Sus scrofa: one gene and its partners. The protein of the gene in region 1 purifies or fractionates together with the protein of each later gene. This does not show direct contact. Links are inferred from orthologs where the notes say so. Each region holds a gene or a part of one and is shown on either strand. Other genes may lie near its edges.

Region 1 (3,500 bases):
TGTAGGCCCTGCTAACGAGGCCAGGCACAGAAAGCAAGAGACTAACACGCTGTTGCTACTGAAGGACAGTGAAGCTTCAGGGGTGGCCACCAAATCCTGCCCAGTATAGAAAGGATGAGAAGCCCCCGGTTCACTGTGGACCTTATCAATTGTGTACACAACATACCCAAGGGAAAGTCACTCTGTGATGGTTCTCAGTCAACGTGTGGTGGGCCCCAGCTCTAAAGTCAAATGATGAGCTGACGATGGTCACAGAACAGCCTGGCGTCTGCCAATGGGTAGCCGGTAGGTGTTTGTTAAAACCATAAAACCTATTTTATGGCTCTATGCAGCCAAGCTAGATGAAAACCAATGCTAAGCCACGAATCATCCATGAGACAGCAACCATACCCCTGGCAGCCAGAGAGCTCCCCCCACTCACCAGTATCAGGTTAAATCGGTCACTCGCCAAAGCGGAGGGATCTGAGCTCTGAATCTGGACCTTCTTCCTCTGCATGCAGCTTACTCGCAACTCATGGGCTAAACTGCAGATGAGAAAGAGGAGGGCGGGGGGTAGGGATGCCGTGCCCAGACATCTGTGGAGAAGATGCAGGGGTTCTGCTCTGCCCCACACCCGAAGACCGTCTTCTCTGGTCGGCCCTCTCCTCTCCACATGAAATGTCAGCAATGGAGCTGGGCAAGGCCCCAAAGAATCGCAATTTTAGAACTCTTAGGGAAACTAAGGCAAAGAAATGGGTGGCTCAATTGATCTTTCACTCAAAGAAAGTCAGAACTAGAACTAGAGGGATTTGTTTTGGATCAACAAGTGCAACTGTTGAGACAAAGAGAACAAGCCTGAGAAATGAGACAGCCACCCATCCCACTGCCCCTTTTCCTCCACCGAGGACCCAGTATGTTTCAGGGTGGAGAACAGATCTAACTAGACTTCTGACTCTGCCCTCTCAGAGGGAGGGAAATAGAGGAGAGTCGCATCCCTCCTGCCCCGGCTGATACGGCCTGCAGGTCTGATCTTCTCCCTGAAGGGGGCGCCTTGGTAAGCCACCCTAATTCGAGCTGTTTCTTCACGGGCCCAGGCACACAGGAGGCAGCAGGACGCAGGGGTGAGGCGCTCAGGCCTGGGAGGGAGACAGAGCCCACCCTTTCTAGCTCTGCCTTGAGCAAATCATTCCACTCTGAGTCTGCCTCTTCTGGGACCTGGGGAAGTACCCAGCCATCTCCCAGGGTTTTAGTTCAACTGTACCAGACATCACAAGTCTTTAAAGTTTAGTACACAACCATTTCATGTTCCATTTTTGGTGACAACTCATTAGAAAGGGAAAAGGAGGCAGAAGCCTGATGGGATGAAGTTAAAGGACATTTTACTAAACTAAAGATGATTTATAAGTAACTAAGAGGAAACATCTTGAGAAATTTCTACCGAATTTCTCTGCCTGGATTCCCTCTTCCTGGCCTCCTGCAAGAGCCTCCCCGCCTGGTCCAGAGGAAGGATTCGCCCAGGGCTGACTTTGGCAGCAGAAGGCAGGCTGTGAGTGGAAGCTCCTCCACTGTGAAGACTCCTCACAGAGTAGCTATGTGCTCTAGCCTGACTGGGTTCTTGGACCACAGAAATAGGAAAAAAAAACATTCATGAAGAAAACATAACAATGAGGCATTGTCTTACCGGCAATAACTGGTGACGTTGAGAAAACCCAGCCTGCTTTTTTGTAGCAAGGAAGATGCATTAAATCCCAACCTGGCTATTTTCTAAATTAAAAAGAGTAAAATTCAGTCAAGTTTTATGTTATCAGATAATGGGGTATGTTTATAATTCCACAGGATACAATGAAGAAACATGTACTAAGACTGTAGGAACTATATGCATAAAAATCTGATGGTCTCCTCTGTGAGTCTCCTCTCCTTGGAAAGAGGACAAGCCCATCACAAGAGAGTAGGTGTGAGCTGGGAAGTCTGCTCGGCACCGCTGTCTAGGCCTCCCATCGATTTCTTCCCGAGGAGATGAGGCCGCCGAGTTGCTGAGGGCAGGAATGGCACTGGACACTCAGGTCTGCATCGCGCTTCGCATTCAATCGATGGTGACTGTGGATTTTCCATTCCACTGCCCTCATATCTGCAAAATGTCCTGGCATCTAATCTGCAGAAAGGATCCTCATATTCAAACCACACACCCTGCTTTCCTATTTAAAATATATGGTTACAGAAGCTTTATCAGGCTGCTACTGAGTCGCCTGAGGAAGGACAAGACGTCAGAACTACTGATGAAATCCGGCAAAAAAGAAAAGGGTGGTGGTGGTGGGAGGAGATTTCTTGCCTTTTCTTATTCTCTTACCAGGTTCCTTTGGGGAACTTCAAGACACCACCCTCCCCAAAATGCGCTAAGCTGAGTGTTACAGGGGTGTTTAATTGGCACCTCCTGGTGGCCATGGGTGGACGCTGGCAGGAGTGGAGGGGACGGGCAGCCCCGGGGGGTGTGGCGCCCACCTTTCCCTGCCTGTCCTCTTCCTCTAGCAGCTGCAGCCTTTTGCTCTCCATTTCCTTCTGCCGGATGCTCTCCTTAGTGAGGGGGTTGCAGTTATTATGTCCCGGGAGCAAGCGGAAGTAGCGGTTCTTCTCAGGATCAAAGTAATAACCTGGCAGATCTTTAGTCAAAAAAAAAAAAAATCCAACTTACAAACCATGTGCTGAGCCACCCAGTGAGGAGCCCAGGGGCCTGTCCACCACCCCTCCTAGCCGCCACCGCCGCTCCTTCCTCAGAGGCAGGAGGTGGGCTGGCACTGCCAGTCACCATCCTGGGCCTAGTTCAGTCCCGGGGGGAGCAGCTTTTGCCTCGATCACCATTCCTGACACACCCGGCTCCTCCCTTTAGTGTTTCAATTTGCTTCCAGAAATTTCCTTCAAGCCAGGAATGGACTGATGACACACATGGAGTGTATCCACACAAGTGAAGACACACAGGGCCGAGGAGGAGGGCAGCTGGAAGGGACAGACCAGGGGACGAGGCAGGACGACGAGGAGGTTTCATCTTTCTCCATGGGCAGTCTCCATGGGCAGGGCTGGGGGAGCCCAGTCCAGCGGGCTGCCTTACCTGGCACAGAAGAACTGCCAGCTGAGCTGGATGAGGTGGAGGGGGCCTCGTCATCACTGCGGCTGGACCCCTGTGGGCTCTGCTGTGCCCCTGCGTTGTTCCTGTTGACACACAGCCAGGGTAACTTTTGCCAAGGGCCTGAGTCTCAGTCTTTCTTTGCCTCTGGGTCTTGCAGTTCCATAGCCTTCACCCCTGAACCTCTCACACTGGATTATTTGGGGAGCACTGACCCCTCTTTTCCTTGGTAGCAGTTTACCTACTGCAGACAGACCCAAGTTAGGGCAAGGTTTTGGTTTCTCAACCTTAAGAGGATGCATGTCACAGTAGTTCCCCTTTCATATCTCCTCATTTGAGCATTTGGGGAGGTCTTTTGGAATTTTCCAGATGAAAATGAGAACAGAAATCTTGGCCAATAAGA
Region 2 (4,032 bases), on another chromosome or scaffold:
TGGATTAAAATATGTATGCACATGTAGCAATTAGCTAATTCCATGCATGTGGGATTTGTCATAATTTAGAGTATGTATAATTCTTAGAGCATGAAAAGTTAGCTATTATTTCTAGCACTGCAAATACTCAGCATAATACTTTTTATTTACTTTTCATCTTTAAAAATTTTTATTGACTTGTAATTGACTTAACAATGTTGTGTTAATTTTTAGTAAATCTAAAATTAGTAGGTTTCTCAAAAAGTTCAATAAATTAGGAAGTCCATCTAGATGTTATTAATTTGGGGGTCCATCAAGTTAACTTTTATTTACTAGTGTAATACATAGCTATTACTAAAGTGTTATTATGTATAGATTGAATATAAAATATCTATTTTCACTTACCTCAAACCCCTTAATAATACCTTGTTTATGGCTGTTATAATGTAGCTACTGTTACATGGTAGGCTCCCAGGGTGATGTGAGAGTTGCCAGGAGAGGAAAGCTCTCCTTTCTGGTAAGAAGCCCAATAGTGTAGCACGAATCACAGGTTGGAGTCTGGGATTCAGTTTTGCATGTTCATCAACAATACTTTAAATGTCACAGAGTTGATTGATGCTGGGAATGTGGATTCACTCTCAGAACATTCACAAGAGATTGATGCAGAAAACAACATCCTAAATGACTAATTTACAAAGCCAAACAATTGTTCACAGGGATATAATTTGAAAACAGCAAATTCTTTCTGTGCAGAACCTCACGAGAAGCTAAATTATAATCAGAAGTGTGTTGCTACCATGGAATCAAGGCAAGTTGAGTTGGTTGTACAATTCAAACACAACCCAAATGGCCATCTCCCCAGTACAGACTAGAGTATTTGCTCCCTGGAGAGACAGGGGTGTATTTATTTTACAGATCCCTTCACACCTACCCCACTGCCTAGGTAGTACCTGTTCAGGTTTTGTATTTTTCCATGCTTTCTTTGCTGATCAAAACCCTTGATTTGATCTACTTTTAAAAATTACATAAGTAGGGAGTTCCTGTTGTGGTGCAACGGAAACGAATCCAACTAGGAACCATGAGTTGTGGGTTCCATCCCTGACCTTACTCAGTGGGTTAAGGATCCAGCATTGCCGTGACCTGTGGTGCAGGCCGGCAGCTACAGCTCTGATTAGACCCCTAGCCTGGGAACCTCCATATGCTGTGGGCCCTCAAAAAAGAAGACAAAAAAAATTGCATAAGTAAAACGTGTTTCTTTAGCTGTTATTTCTTCAATCAGTTAGTCTAGCATTGATTGCCTAGAGGACATTCGATCGTTTAAGTAAGGTATTTCTCTTTTTTTATTTTACTTTTTGTCTTTTTATCTCTTTAGGGCCGCACCCACGGCACGTGGAGGTTCCCAGGTATATGGAGGTTCTCAGGCTAGGGGTCGAAGAGAAGCTGTAGCCGCCAGTCCTTCGTGGGATTTGAGCCGTGTCTGCGACCTACATCACAGCTCACGCTAACGCTGGATCCTTTACCCACTGAGCGAGGCCAGGGATCGAACCCGTGACCTCATGGATGCTAGTCGGGTTTGTTAACCACTGAGCCACGAAGGGAACTCCAAGAAGTTCTCTTGATTTAAAGCTCAACTTATGGTTATGAGGGTGAAGCAGGGGACCACAACCTAGTGAATTCTTTGGAGGCACCTCTCTTTGGCCAGTGAGTATGGCTCCCCGATTAAAATACAGGATGCCCACTTAAATTCAGAAGGCAAGCAAATTTTCTTTTTTGGAATAAAGTATTTCCCAAATATTGAATGAGGTATAGTTTATACTAGAAAATATATTCATTTTTATCTGAAATCCAAATGTCCTGTACAGGGTGTCCTGTATTTTTATTTGCTAAACTCGGCAAGCCCACCACTACATTAGCATGATGTCAAGAGGCTTGCCAAGATTCATGCTGGTCGGTAAGCACCAATCCTTTCGGTTGTTTCGGGAAACAAAAATCATTCCCACTAAAAAATTGTTTGACAGCAGGTAGCAACGATACACGGAAGAACCTTGACCCTTTGAGGAATCCGTAGTGACGCAACGGGTTTAAATAGTACCTTGATTGATTGCCCCGCCCACTCCATTCTTCTCTTCCTGCTACTAGGATGATTGCTCTAGCTCTTCTTCCTTTTCAAGTCCCGCCCTTCAGTTACCCGCTCTGGATAGGGATCGGTAACCCAAAAAGGGCCGGCAAAAGCGCCGACGTATTTAGAGAAGCGGAAGTAGTCAAATTTCACTAAGAACCTTAAAGTGAGGCTGGCTGTCTGCCTTTCCGGATAACGACAACAGCTCCGACTGTCAATGCCGGCCTTCCTCGTGTAAGGGAACCTGCGGGACCCTTGCTAATTCAGTCCCCCCCGCCCCCGCCCCGTTCTGGGCCCTTCCCTATCGTCGCCCTCTTCACCTTGGATCATGTTCAAGAAGTAAGGACATACTGTGGCCTCCATCGTATGCTCACAAAGGGGGTGGGGGTGGGGAAGAGGGCGAGAGCAAAAATTCCCTTTCTCTCTTCCCAGCCCCAGCCATCCTTACTCCCTAAGGTTTTCTATAGTCCTATGCTCTCAACTCGCAACTTGCAACACTTCTTTAAGCCTTTCATCCAGTCCTCAAATGGGTTTCGGTCCTCCCACCCTCATTTTCTTTCTCCTTACCTCTCTTTTACTTTTTCTCCCAATCCTATCTCCATCCCAAGGATTCTACCAATCACATCCTTGTACTGTGATTTAGGGACATAAGCTCTTTAGCCGAGAGCTGAGCCCTGCACTCACTGCCATGTGGTTATTAGTTATGAACCGAATAAGGGAAGGCTTGACTTCCTGGGTCATGGGAGTGAAGGAGTCTGGGTGACAGGAAGCTAGCGGCCTGTCATGCCTATTGCCTAGCTGCCAGATTAACTTTGTTTTGAAAATACCGTGATTGCCGCATAGGCTATTGAGCGTAAGGAAGACAAAAGTTCTTTGGGAACCTACCTAGTGAGATTGCCTTCCAGTTTTGATAGACGCAAAAAGCACAGGGGGAACGTGGGCAAAGGAAGGTGGTTTTGTGCACGACGTTTTGAGCAAAAATAAATAGGGATCTTAAATACCATCGTCGTCATCACTTTAGAAAAAAATCTCAGCAGATTACAGAGCCTAGGAGGGGCTGATTTTCTGTTATAATTAAGTTGGGCTTTTGTATCTTAACGCTTAAGGGTATTTTCATTTTATTTTGTTTTGCTTTTGATTTTTTTACACGGGTTTTGTTATAGGTGGGAATCAGTTTCTTCCTGGGTAGAGTTGAGTAAGATTTTCCAGGAAAGGCATTTGTGTAGCTGATTACAGACTATGATATGAAATATGCTTCATATCCTTTCCCTCGTCCCTCTGCTAATTGTGTACGTATGACAGTTTATTTAAATATTTTATTAAGACGTTGGTATTGTGCAGGACAGAATAAAAGGGAAATAGTATCTTAAAAACAATTTATTTCATAATTATTTTAGGCATCTAAATACTTGCTTGGAAATAGGTGACTAATTAAAACAATACCTCTAGCTATTCTGATATGTCTTCTTAGAAATGCCTTTTTTTCCTTGCAAAAATCATTTGGCAGATTTGATGAAAAAGAAAATGTGTCCAACTTCATCCAGTTGAAAACCTCAGTTATAAAGGGTATTAAGAATCAATTGATAGAGCAATTTCCAGGTATTGAACCATGGCTTAATCAAATCATGCCTAAGAAAGATCCTGTCAAAATAGTGAGATGGTCAGTCTTTTTTTCTGTGTAAAGCTCAGAGAAGCTGAATATTGTATGATTAGATTTATTGCATGATTAGATTGCCCTATAATGTAATTATTTTCACAACTATCTACTCTAAATGAATAAAACTTATCACTATTTGTATTTTAAAAATTTTTTATGTTTGTGAAAAATGTGGCTTTGTGTACTGATTATTTTGTTAGAGTTAATTAAATGTTTTTATTCAGAGTTGGATTTATTTCAGTTTGTACTTTAGAGATTTGTTTTATTATCTAACAAG
Region 3 (4,052 bases), on another chromosome or scaffold:
AAGCAAAACTGTCCATAATGATCATGGTTTCACCATCCACCTTTCCCAGCATCAAGCCCATCACTTCCAAGTTGCCTCCTGATCTGGCATGCATCACCATTTTCAGCAGAGCCAATGCTGAGATTTTGCAGTACTTAAAGTAATGGTGACTACAAAACAAAAGCATGGTGTAATTAACTTTCTTACATAAAGTAGAATTTCAAGACAGTTTTTGTGGAGATTAACAAGCATTGAGGGAATTAACACTGATAGAATGGGGAGGAAGAGTGTAGAATGGAAAGAAGGAGGAAGTAGAAAAGGGAGATGGAAACACATCATAACCTTGCAAGGTATTTCCCACTGGGGAAAGGGAACACTATGAAATAGTGGGCATTTATTTTGGCCACACCCATAGTATGCAGATGTTTCTGGGCCAGGGATTGAACCCAAGGCACAGCAGTGACAATGCTGGATCCTTAATCTGCTGAGCCACCAGAGAACTTCTGAAAAAGTTTTTTAATATGCTATTCTTACATGACCACTTCAGTAGACTTTTTCTCCATTAATTTTGGTATCACCAAATCTTTTTAAATTTAGAGTTGATTTACAAGGTTGTGCCAAATTTTGGTTTCTGACTGGTTGGATGGATTTACCTCATTATTCTCAGGCCCTAACGTTTTGGCCTAACAGTTAAGAATGTGGGCTCTGGAGTTCCTATTGCAGCTCAGTGGTAACAAACTTGACTAATATCTATGAGGATGTGGGTTCGATTTTTGGCCTCGCCCAGTGGGTTAAGGATCTGGCATTGCCATGATGTACTACATATACTGTGGAATGATCACCACAGTAGGTGTGATCGAAGATGTGGCTCAGATCTGGTGTTGCTGAGGCTATGGTGTAGAATGGCAGCTGTAGCTCTGATTCCACCCCTAGCCCAGGAACTTCCGTATGCCATGGGTGTGCCCCCTCCAAAAAAATGTGGGCTCTGACATCCATCTGCCTACCTTTGCATCCTTGCACTACCATGTCCTAGCTGTGACCTTGAGACATTCACTTAATTCTGTGCCTGTTTCCTTATCTATAAATAGGGATATTTCACAGGGCTGTTGCTAGGAGGAAATGAAGTAAATGAAATAATGTATATAAGGTACTTAGCCTAGTGCCTGACACATACTAAAACTTTTTAAATGCTAGCTGTTGTTAGCATTATCAACCTATCTTTTACAGAACTCTCAAAGAAGTCTGTTGAGGGCTGTGGCTTCTTTCTGTGGTATCAGCCTCAAAATGGAAAATGTAGCCTTATCTTTAGTTCTGCTATGATCACTGTTTAAGTTTTTCATCTGTGGTTGTGACTAAACTACTGTTGAATAAAATTACATTTTGGTCTCACTGATGTGGCTCAAGACAGCTAGGTTGTATATAACTAGAGATACAATCACACAGCGAGGCTAATAGTTTCCAAATATTTAATAGGCTCTATCAACCTAAAATGCACAGCCTGCTATAGAAAGAGCAGGTGAGGCAAACCAACTCAGTGCTCAGTCCTTAGTAAGTACTCAATAAACATTGCTGAATCTGAATAATGACAATTAAAGCTTGCCTTGTGGGACAGATGAAGCATGGTTTTTGTTGTTGACCACCGCTTTCCCATCTATCTCTCTGTTAGAGACGGTGCTCTTTTAACTCTATCTCTAACAATATCTGCTCTCAGGAAAGGATAAATGCTGTGGGAAAGAATCCTCGATCTGTCATCACTCTCAGGGACACAGCTGTTTTGCTAAATGGCAAAGAACTCTATTGATTTAATTTGTAGCTTATGTGAACTTGCTAACATTTTGGGAGACTAAGTAGAACCTCGCGGTGTTTCTAAAATAATTACCAGCAATCGAAAAACAATTACAGATCTAAACGATGGCTTTTAATTAAAGACCGTTGGGCTGGCTCAATTTCTGAAGACAGCTACAGTCTCCAGTCTAAGATCTGCTGCAAGTCCCAACAAAGTGTATACCGACACAGGATTCAAGGCAGAGTGTGTAGCATACGTGACGGTATGGGTGTTGAGGAGTAAAAGCCCAAATCACCGCTTGCCGTTTTCCTTTTCCATTCTCCCGAGGCAAACGGGTTAAAGAGACAGAAAGGGGAGTCAAGCGAGCCCCAAAGGAGGGACTTACGCTCAACTTGCGCGGATAAAAAGGCAAAGCAAAAATTCTCAGACGCTTACTCTTCCTCTTCCCTGCACAAGAAAAGACAAGCCCAGTCCCCGCTTCAGCTCCCACCCCTACTGGGTCTCTTAAACTCCCGCCACCCTTCCCTCCCCAGCATTTCGCCAGGGACCTCCTCACTCCTTAGTCCAGGGTTTCGCCGCCAGGATTTCTTGCTGCTGTTTTTTGTCGTATTTGTAGATTTCATCGATACTCTGGGCTTCCTGCATGTTGTTGGCTAATTCCCACGTTTTCTGGGCCATACCACTCCCAGAAGCCGCCATCGCAGAGGATTCGGAGAAGTTGTTGCCCCTACAACCAAGACGCAACTTCAACCTCGCTAGGTTTCCGGGTGTGGGCTTCAGACCCACCCCACCGCAGGTGCAAACTGGTACTAGACTCTCGAGGCAGCCATGACACCTAGAACCGGAGGTGAAGTTGGTACCGACCATTCGAGGATGGCGGGGGTCCTTCCGGAACGCGACGGTGTAAACAGCAGTTACACAATAGTTAGAGACAGAGGAATCTCCTTGTGGATTAAATGAAGACATATTATCTTGGAAAATTATATGTGTGAATTAAGACAAAAACAGCGTTTATGTAAGGAATGGTATAGCCTTCCGCACCGGAAGAAGGGCATGTAACGTTATGCCAGAAAACGAATTGACCTTCCTTGTTCGTACTGCGCAGGCTCGGCCTCCGCCATATTAAAAATAGATCCTTAAACGGGGATGGGAGAAAGAATTGTTTTTATGTAGGTGCAGGTACTTTAAATGCAGTAAGTTTGTTGAAAGACTTAAAAAAAAAAAAGGATGTCTGGAAAAATTGAGATAAATAGTTCTGAATGCTGGCTTTGAGAGAATACATGACATCCTAGTTTACTTTCAGATGAATCACCGCACATGTGTAAAATCCTATGGGCTCGTGGTTGGGCACTAAGCTTCTCTTGGGCGTTCTCTAGCGATCATATGAAGCTGTGGAAACTCGTGGATGGCTACGGTCATGCCTTGGTGTGTTTGTAAAAATTAACATCTCTAGGCGCTATTAATGTCCCGAAAATGTCCAGTACCCAGTTGCTATAATAGTTTACAGTTTAATCTTCTGCATTGCTCTGTGGAACTAACTCTGCTCCGAGACTGAATTAATCTAGGGGGAGTATTGGTTGTCATCCAAGAGTTCAAACGGTATTTAATTATTTCATTATTTGCTTGTTTTAGTTATTCTCCCCCCCCCCCCGCATTAGATTCTAAGTTCCAAAACACAGGGACCAGGTGTGCTCCTTGTTGTATCCTCAATGTCTACCATAGATGTTCAATTTTTTTCCCCCTGGGGGAAAAGGGGAGGGGGGGCATCACAATTCACCTCTCCAGTTTCATCTTTCTTTAGTTACCCTGAAACTTTGCATAAGGTGGCTAGCATTGCCTGAAAAGCTCTCCCCTGACTTTTCGGACTGGGAGTTTAAACTTACATTTAAAAACACAGCTCAGAGCTCTCTGCCACGCAATCCTTCTTAACTTTTCTCTCTCCAGTAATCCTTCTGCCGTGTCTCTAAATGCCTGTAGGTGCTTGCATAACTGTTACAGTGCAAGGAAATAATGTATTTGTTTACCTGGAAGTTTTTCTTTTCACTCTCAGTTTCAGAGTGCAGGGCACTTGGTTCTGAGCTGTATCCTCCACTCCTAGAAAGCTGTGTGACATTTAGTTAAGACAACATTAGTATTATGGAATCCACAACTCCGCCTGTGGTTTTGACATTAAATTCCATTTGAAGAAAATTTATCTTTCAAGCCCTCGTACAAACTAACAAGATAAAGGTCACTTAGTTCCACTGTCCCGGGAATCTAGATATCTCTTTTCTAGTGGTAGCATATG
Region 4 (4,125 bases), on another chromosome or scaffold:
TCATGGTTCCTACTCGGATTCATTAACCACTGTGCCATGACGGGAACTCTGTTCTTGTTTGACTTTAAATAAAAACTGATAGTGAAAAATGTTAACTCTGCAAAGCTAAGGCCAAAGTAGACCTGTTCTTAAAGAAAAGGTCTTAGGTCTCAATCAAATGATTGGAAATGAACATATCCTTTAAGTTAAGATAAAAGCATGGATCTGTTTTTTTTTTCCCCCATGATTCCTATCTTAACCAACTTTCTCAATTAACTGAACAACTAATGGTTCCAATCATGTTACACTATATTCAACTGCCAAAGAGATAGCTTGGCTTGGTTGTCAACAGATGCCTCCAACTCAACACGGCCAAAACTACACTTATTTTTCCTTCCCAATCAGTTCTGCTCACGTGTTGCCCAGCTGGAAACCTGGGAATCATTCTTAATTCCTTCCTGTTTGTTCTCCAACCACACAGCCTTATTCACCAAGTCTCCGCAATGTCTCCATATATTCTAAAAACCCACTCTCCCCCTTTCCCTGTCCTGATTACCACGGTTCTAGTTCTGCGAAATAGCATGGCTCAGGGGAAAGACTACAAGCTTCGAATCCACAAAAACATATTTGCGCTCTCCCGTTGCATTTGGAGCCTGTTTAGACAAAACTCCTCAGAGACACAAATCCCAAAGGACATAGGTACGCCGAGCGCCAACACAGAACCCCCTTGCAGTCGAACCACTTGCTTTCCCCGGCTCCTACATCCACCACTGCCTGTCCCCCGTCCCCACACGCCCCTGAATTGAGGGCACGGCCGCCGGGGCTCCCGAGCCCCCAGGGTACACGGTGAGGGCGCCTGCTTCCCGTCTGGCGGCCAAAGGCTCCGGCGCAGCCGGCGAACGGACCCGCCCGGGCCCCAGCCCGCTCCGGGCCGCAGCTCAGGGAAGCGGGAGGTCAACCGGCAGGGGGCCCGATGGTCGGCGAACGTTACCTGCTGCAGGTACTGGTTGAGGGTGATGTGCGCCATGGCCGCGCCTGCAGTGCGGCGGAGCTGCGCGCCCGTCGCCGCCTGCTTGCGTCACTTCCGGGCCGCGGTCCGTCCCGGCCCCGCGCCCCCCGCCCTCCGCGCACCTTGGTTCCGGAGGCAGCCTGTGCGCGGGAACGCGAGCCCCGGGCCGGCATGGCGGCGCGCCCGGGCTGAGGCGGGCTGGGGGCTGCGCTGCGACTCCCCGAACCGCTCGCGAGGCCGCCTCGTCCGCGCCCCAGGTGCCCAGGCCCGCCGGCCGCTCGCCTGCTGCGAGGTTCCACACGGACCGCGGCGGAAGCGGACTGCGGCGCCCGCGAGCTCGGGGCCGGGTCGGGCCGGGTCAGGTCGGGTCGGGGTCCGGCGCGCTCCCGAGGCCTGAGGCGCGCGGTCGGCGTCGGGATCCGGCGGTTGGACCGGGCCGGGCCGGACCGGGGAGCGCAGCCGGGGGAGCGGACAGGCGGGCGCGGGCGGAGGCCCGGGCGGGGCGCTGCGGCCGCGGCCATGGCCGACGAGACCCCCAGGAAGGGCAGCTTCTCGGCGCTCGTCGGGCACACCAACGGCCTCACCAAGCCCGCGTCCCTCGCCGCCGCCGCCGTCACCTCCAAGCCCGGGGGCAGCGGCGGCTCCAAGAAGCTCGTGATCAAGAATTTCCGAGGTGGGTGCGGGGCCGCGGCGGGGCGGGCGGGGGTCGCTTTCCCTCCGCGGCTGTGTCGTCGGGACGGAGGGTTCGGCTGGAGTTAAGTTCGGCCAAGCAGCGCAGGTGTCGTGGTTGGCGAGGCCGAGCCAGAACGAGTGGCAGCCCCTGAAGCGCTGGGTGATGTCGCTTAATTTAATTACTTTCTCCGCTGTCACTGTCGTTATCTGGGAGCAAGCGTCTTCGTCCCACACAGACCTCCCTCCCGACGTTGAGTAATTTAACTCAACTTTAAATCTGGTCGGGGCTTAACTATTCCATGTTTGTTTATTTGTAACGTCTCCTTACTTAGAAGACTACATGTGTGTGTCCTAAGTATCAACACTGCAAGTATTTACCCAGCAAAAGAGAGACATTGTGGTCACATAGTCTCTAAGCCAAGGAAGGTGTAAACACAGTGCTTCCTTTGGGGAAGAGCTACTGCCCGTATTCGTCACCTAGGTGTCTTTGAGTCCTTTTTTGTAGAGTTTTTTTTTAAGGTGTGTGACTCTTGGCATGATGCCCTTCCCCACTCACTGTCTCTGGATTTACAGACAGACCGAAGTTGCCTGATAACTACACTCAGGACACCTGGCACAAGCTTCACGAGGCGGTGAAAGCCATACAGAGTAGTACCTCCATCAGATACAACCTGGAAGAGCTCTACCAGGTAAGACTCCACCTTTGCAAACAGCGGGGCTCCTTAGGATTCTCACCTAATTTCTTCAGGGAGAACGTCCAGGCCTGGGGGCCAGCATCTTGTTTTTCACTTACCGTTTTTTGCAGCTGTCCAAACCACACGGTTGTGCACTTCCACGAAATGTGACACGGGTGCGGATTCCGTGGGCCTCAGTATTGTCTCAGCGAAGGAAATACTAGAAATCCAAGTACAGGCCTCCGGCAGAAACAGTGGGAGTTCTGCGAGAGGACGTCCCCAGGGTCAAGGAGGATTTTCGGGTTTTGGCGCTTGTGGGATTTTTATTTTCTTTTCAGGCTTCAACTGTCTAGAAAGGCATTTAAAGTTAATTCATCACAGGAAAGCCATATGTTTCTGTGAGCCATGCGACTCTGTTTTCCAAATATGCAGCAAATGTTATTAAAATTCCAAGTTACGTTATATATAAAATTCTCATGACAGTTTCACTTGTAGATTTTCCCTGTCTTCATTGTACTTTGTGATTAATTATTGCGGTTAAAATGTGCAAACAGGTTTTGTTTCATTTGATTTAAATTAATGATGTTCTTGTTCTAACATAAGAAAAAATGGTCGAAAGTATGTTTCACGGTTGGATATTCCACTTACAAGCAGACTGGTTTTTCTTTTCTGGTATCTTAAAGACTAACAATTTGTCAGCTGGGCCTAATATCACCCACGTTTTAGGTAATGACAGTACAATTTCTATTAGGAGACTTGGATTTTAAGTTTTTTCTTTTTCTGTAAGTGATTACATTGTAAAATTATGGAAACTATAAAAAATACAAGGAAAACAATTGAAAACCAACAAAATTAGAAACCGTTGTTGTGCAGCGGAAGCAGATCTGACTAGGAACCATGAGGTTGTGGGTTCGACCCCTGGCCTCGCCCAGTGAGTTAAGGATCCGGCGTTGCTGTGAGCTGTGGTGTAGGTTGCAGATACAGCTTGGATCTGGTGTTGCTGTGGTTGTGGTGTAGACCGGCAGCTGCAGCTCTAATTTGACCCCTAGCCTGGAAACTCAAGTATGTCCCACGTGCAGCCCTAAAAAGCAAAAAAAAAAAAAAAAAAAAAAAAAATCACCTATTCTCCCACCACCCAAAGAAAACGTTGACAATTTGAGGGACATATGTCCCTTCTTTGTCACAAGTTTGTGTGAATTTATTGTATTTTTTTTAAACTCTTTGAATTTTATTGTATTTATAGTTGTATAACCATCCTTAGAGTTTTTGGTGTTTTAATCACCTTTAATAAGGTAGAAATATGTAGTTTGTTAAGTTTTAGCAGGTGTACCCCACAGTCTAACCAGCAGCACACTGGGGACCACAGTGGGTGTTTCCATCATCCAGAGTTCCCTGAGGCCCCCTTGAATTCAGCATCTCCCTCACCCCAGTCCCTGACCTCACCGCCCTCCCTCACCCCCGTCCCTGACCTCACCGCCCTCCCTCACCCCCGTCCCTGACCTCACCGCCCTCCCTCACCCCCGTCCCTGACCTCACCGCCCTCCCTCACCCCCGTCCCTGACCTCACCGCCCTCCCTCACCCCCGTCCCTGACCTCACCGCCCTCCCTCACCCCCGTCCCTGACCTCACCGCCCTCCCTCACCCCCGTCCCTGACCTCACCGCCCTCCCTCACCCCCGTCCCTGACCTCACCGCCCTCCCTCACCCCCGTCCCTGACCTCACCGCCCTCCCTCACCCCCGTCCCTGACCTCACCGCCCTCCCTCACCCCCGTCCCTGACCTCACCGCCCTC

What was found.
Region 2: the proteins of DCAF4 (region 1) and CUL4B purify together in Homo sapiens (affinity purification with mass spectrometry; 9 studies listed by BioGRID and IntAct, counting the BioPlex papers as one, with this or other methods). This does not show direct contact. The link is inferred for Sus scrofa from reciprocal best matches to the Homo sapiens genes DCAF4 and CUL4B.
Region 3: the proteins of DCAF4 (region 1) and COPS5 purify together in Homo sapiens (affinity purification with mass spectrometry; 4 studies listed by BioGRID and IntAct, counting the BioPlex papers as one, with this or other methods). This does not show direct contact. The link is inferred for Sus scrofa from reciprocal best matches to the Homo sapiens genes DCAF4 and COPS5.
Region 4: the proteins of DCAF4 (region 1) and CUL4A purify together in Homo sapiens (affinity purification with mass spectrometry; 8 studies listed by BioGRID and IntAct, counting the BioPlex papers as one, with this or other methods). This does not show direct contact. The link is inferred for Sus scrofa from reciprocal best matches to the Homo sapiens genes DCAF4 and CUL4A.

The regions. Positions count from the first base shown.
Region 1 is NC_010449.5:96,302,260-96,305,759, reverse strand, and holds part of DCAF4 (DDB1- and CUL4-associated factor 4), read right to left. Parts: intron 3,184-3,500; coding exon 3,083-3,183; intron 2,637-3,082; coding exon 2,479-2,636; intron 1,744-2,478; coding exon 1,661-1,743; intron 525-1,660; coding exon 422-524; intron 1-421. UniProt on the Homo sapiens protein: May function as a substrate receptor for CUL4-DDB1 E3 ubiquitin-protein ligase complex.
Region 2 is NC_010461.5:98,727,783-98,731,814, forward strand, and holds the start of CUL4B (cullin-4B), read right to left. Parts: upstream 2,801-4,032; 5' UTR 2,666-2,800; intron 2,438-2,665; exon of another isoform or gene 2,333-2,437; coding exon of another isoform or gene 2,316-2,332; exon of another isoform or gene 2,076-2,315; intron 1-2,075. Other genes in the region: MCTS1 (malignant T-cell-amplified sequence 1), read left to right, coding at 2,316-2,332.
Region 3 is NC_010446.5:67,739,276-67,743,327, reverse strand, and holds the start of COPS5 (COP9 signalosome complex subunit 5), read right to left. Parts: upstream 2,801-4,052; 5' UTR 2,732-2,800; coding exon 2,322-2,731; intron 150-2,321; coding exon 1-149. UniProt on the Homo sapiens protein: Probable protease subunit of the COP9 signalosome complex (CSN), a complex involved in various cellular and developmental processes.
Region 4 is NC_010453.5:78,555,705-78,559,829, forward strand, and holds the start of CUL4A (cullin-4A), read left to right. Parts: upstream 1-1,325; 5' UTR 1,326-1,507; coding exon 1,508-1,661; intron 1,662-2,233; coding exon 2,234-2,349; intron 2,350-4,125. Other genes in the region: PCID2 (PCI domain-containing protein 2), read right to left, coding at 971-1,006. UniProt on the Homo sapiens protein: Core component of multiple cullin-RING-based E3 ubiquitin-protein ligase complexes which mediate the ubiquitination of target proteins. As a scaffold protein may contribute to catalysis through positioning of the substrate and the ubiquitin-conjugating enzyme.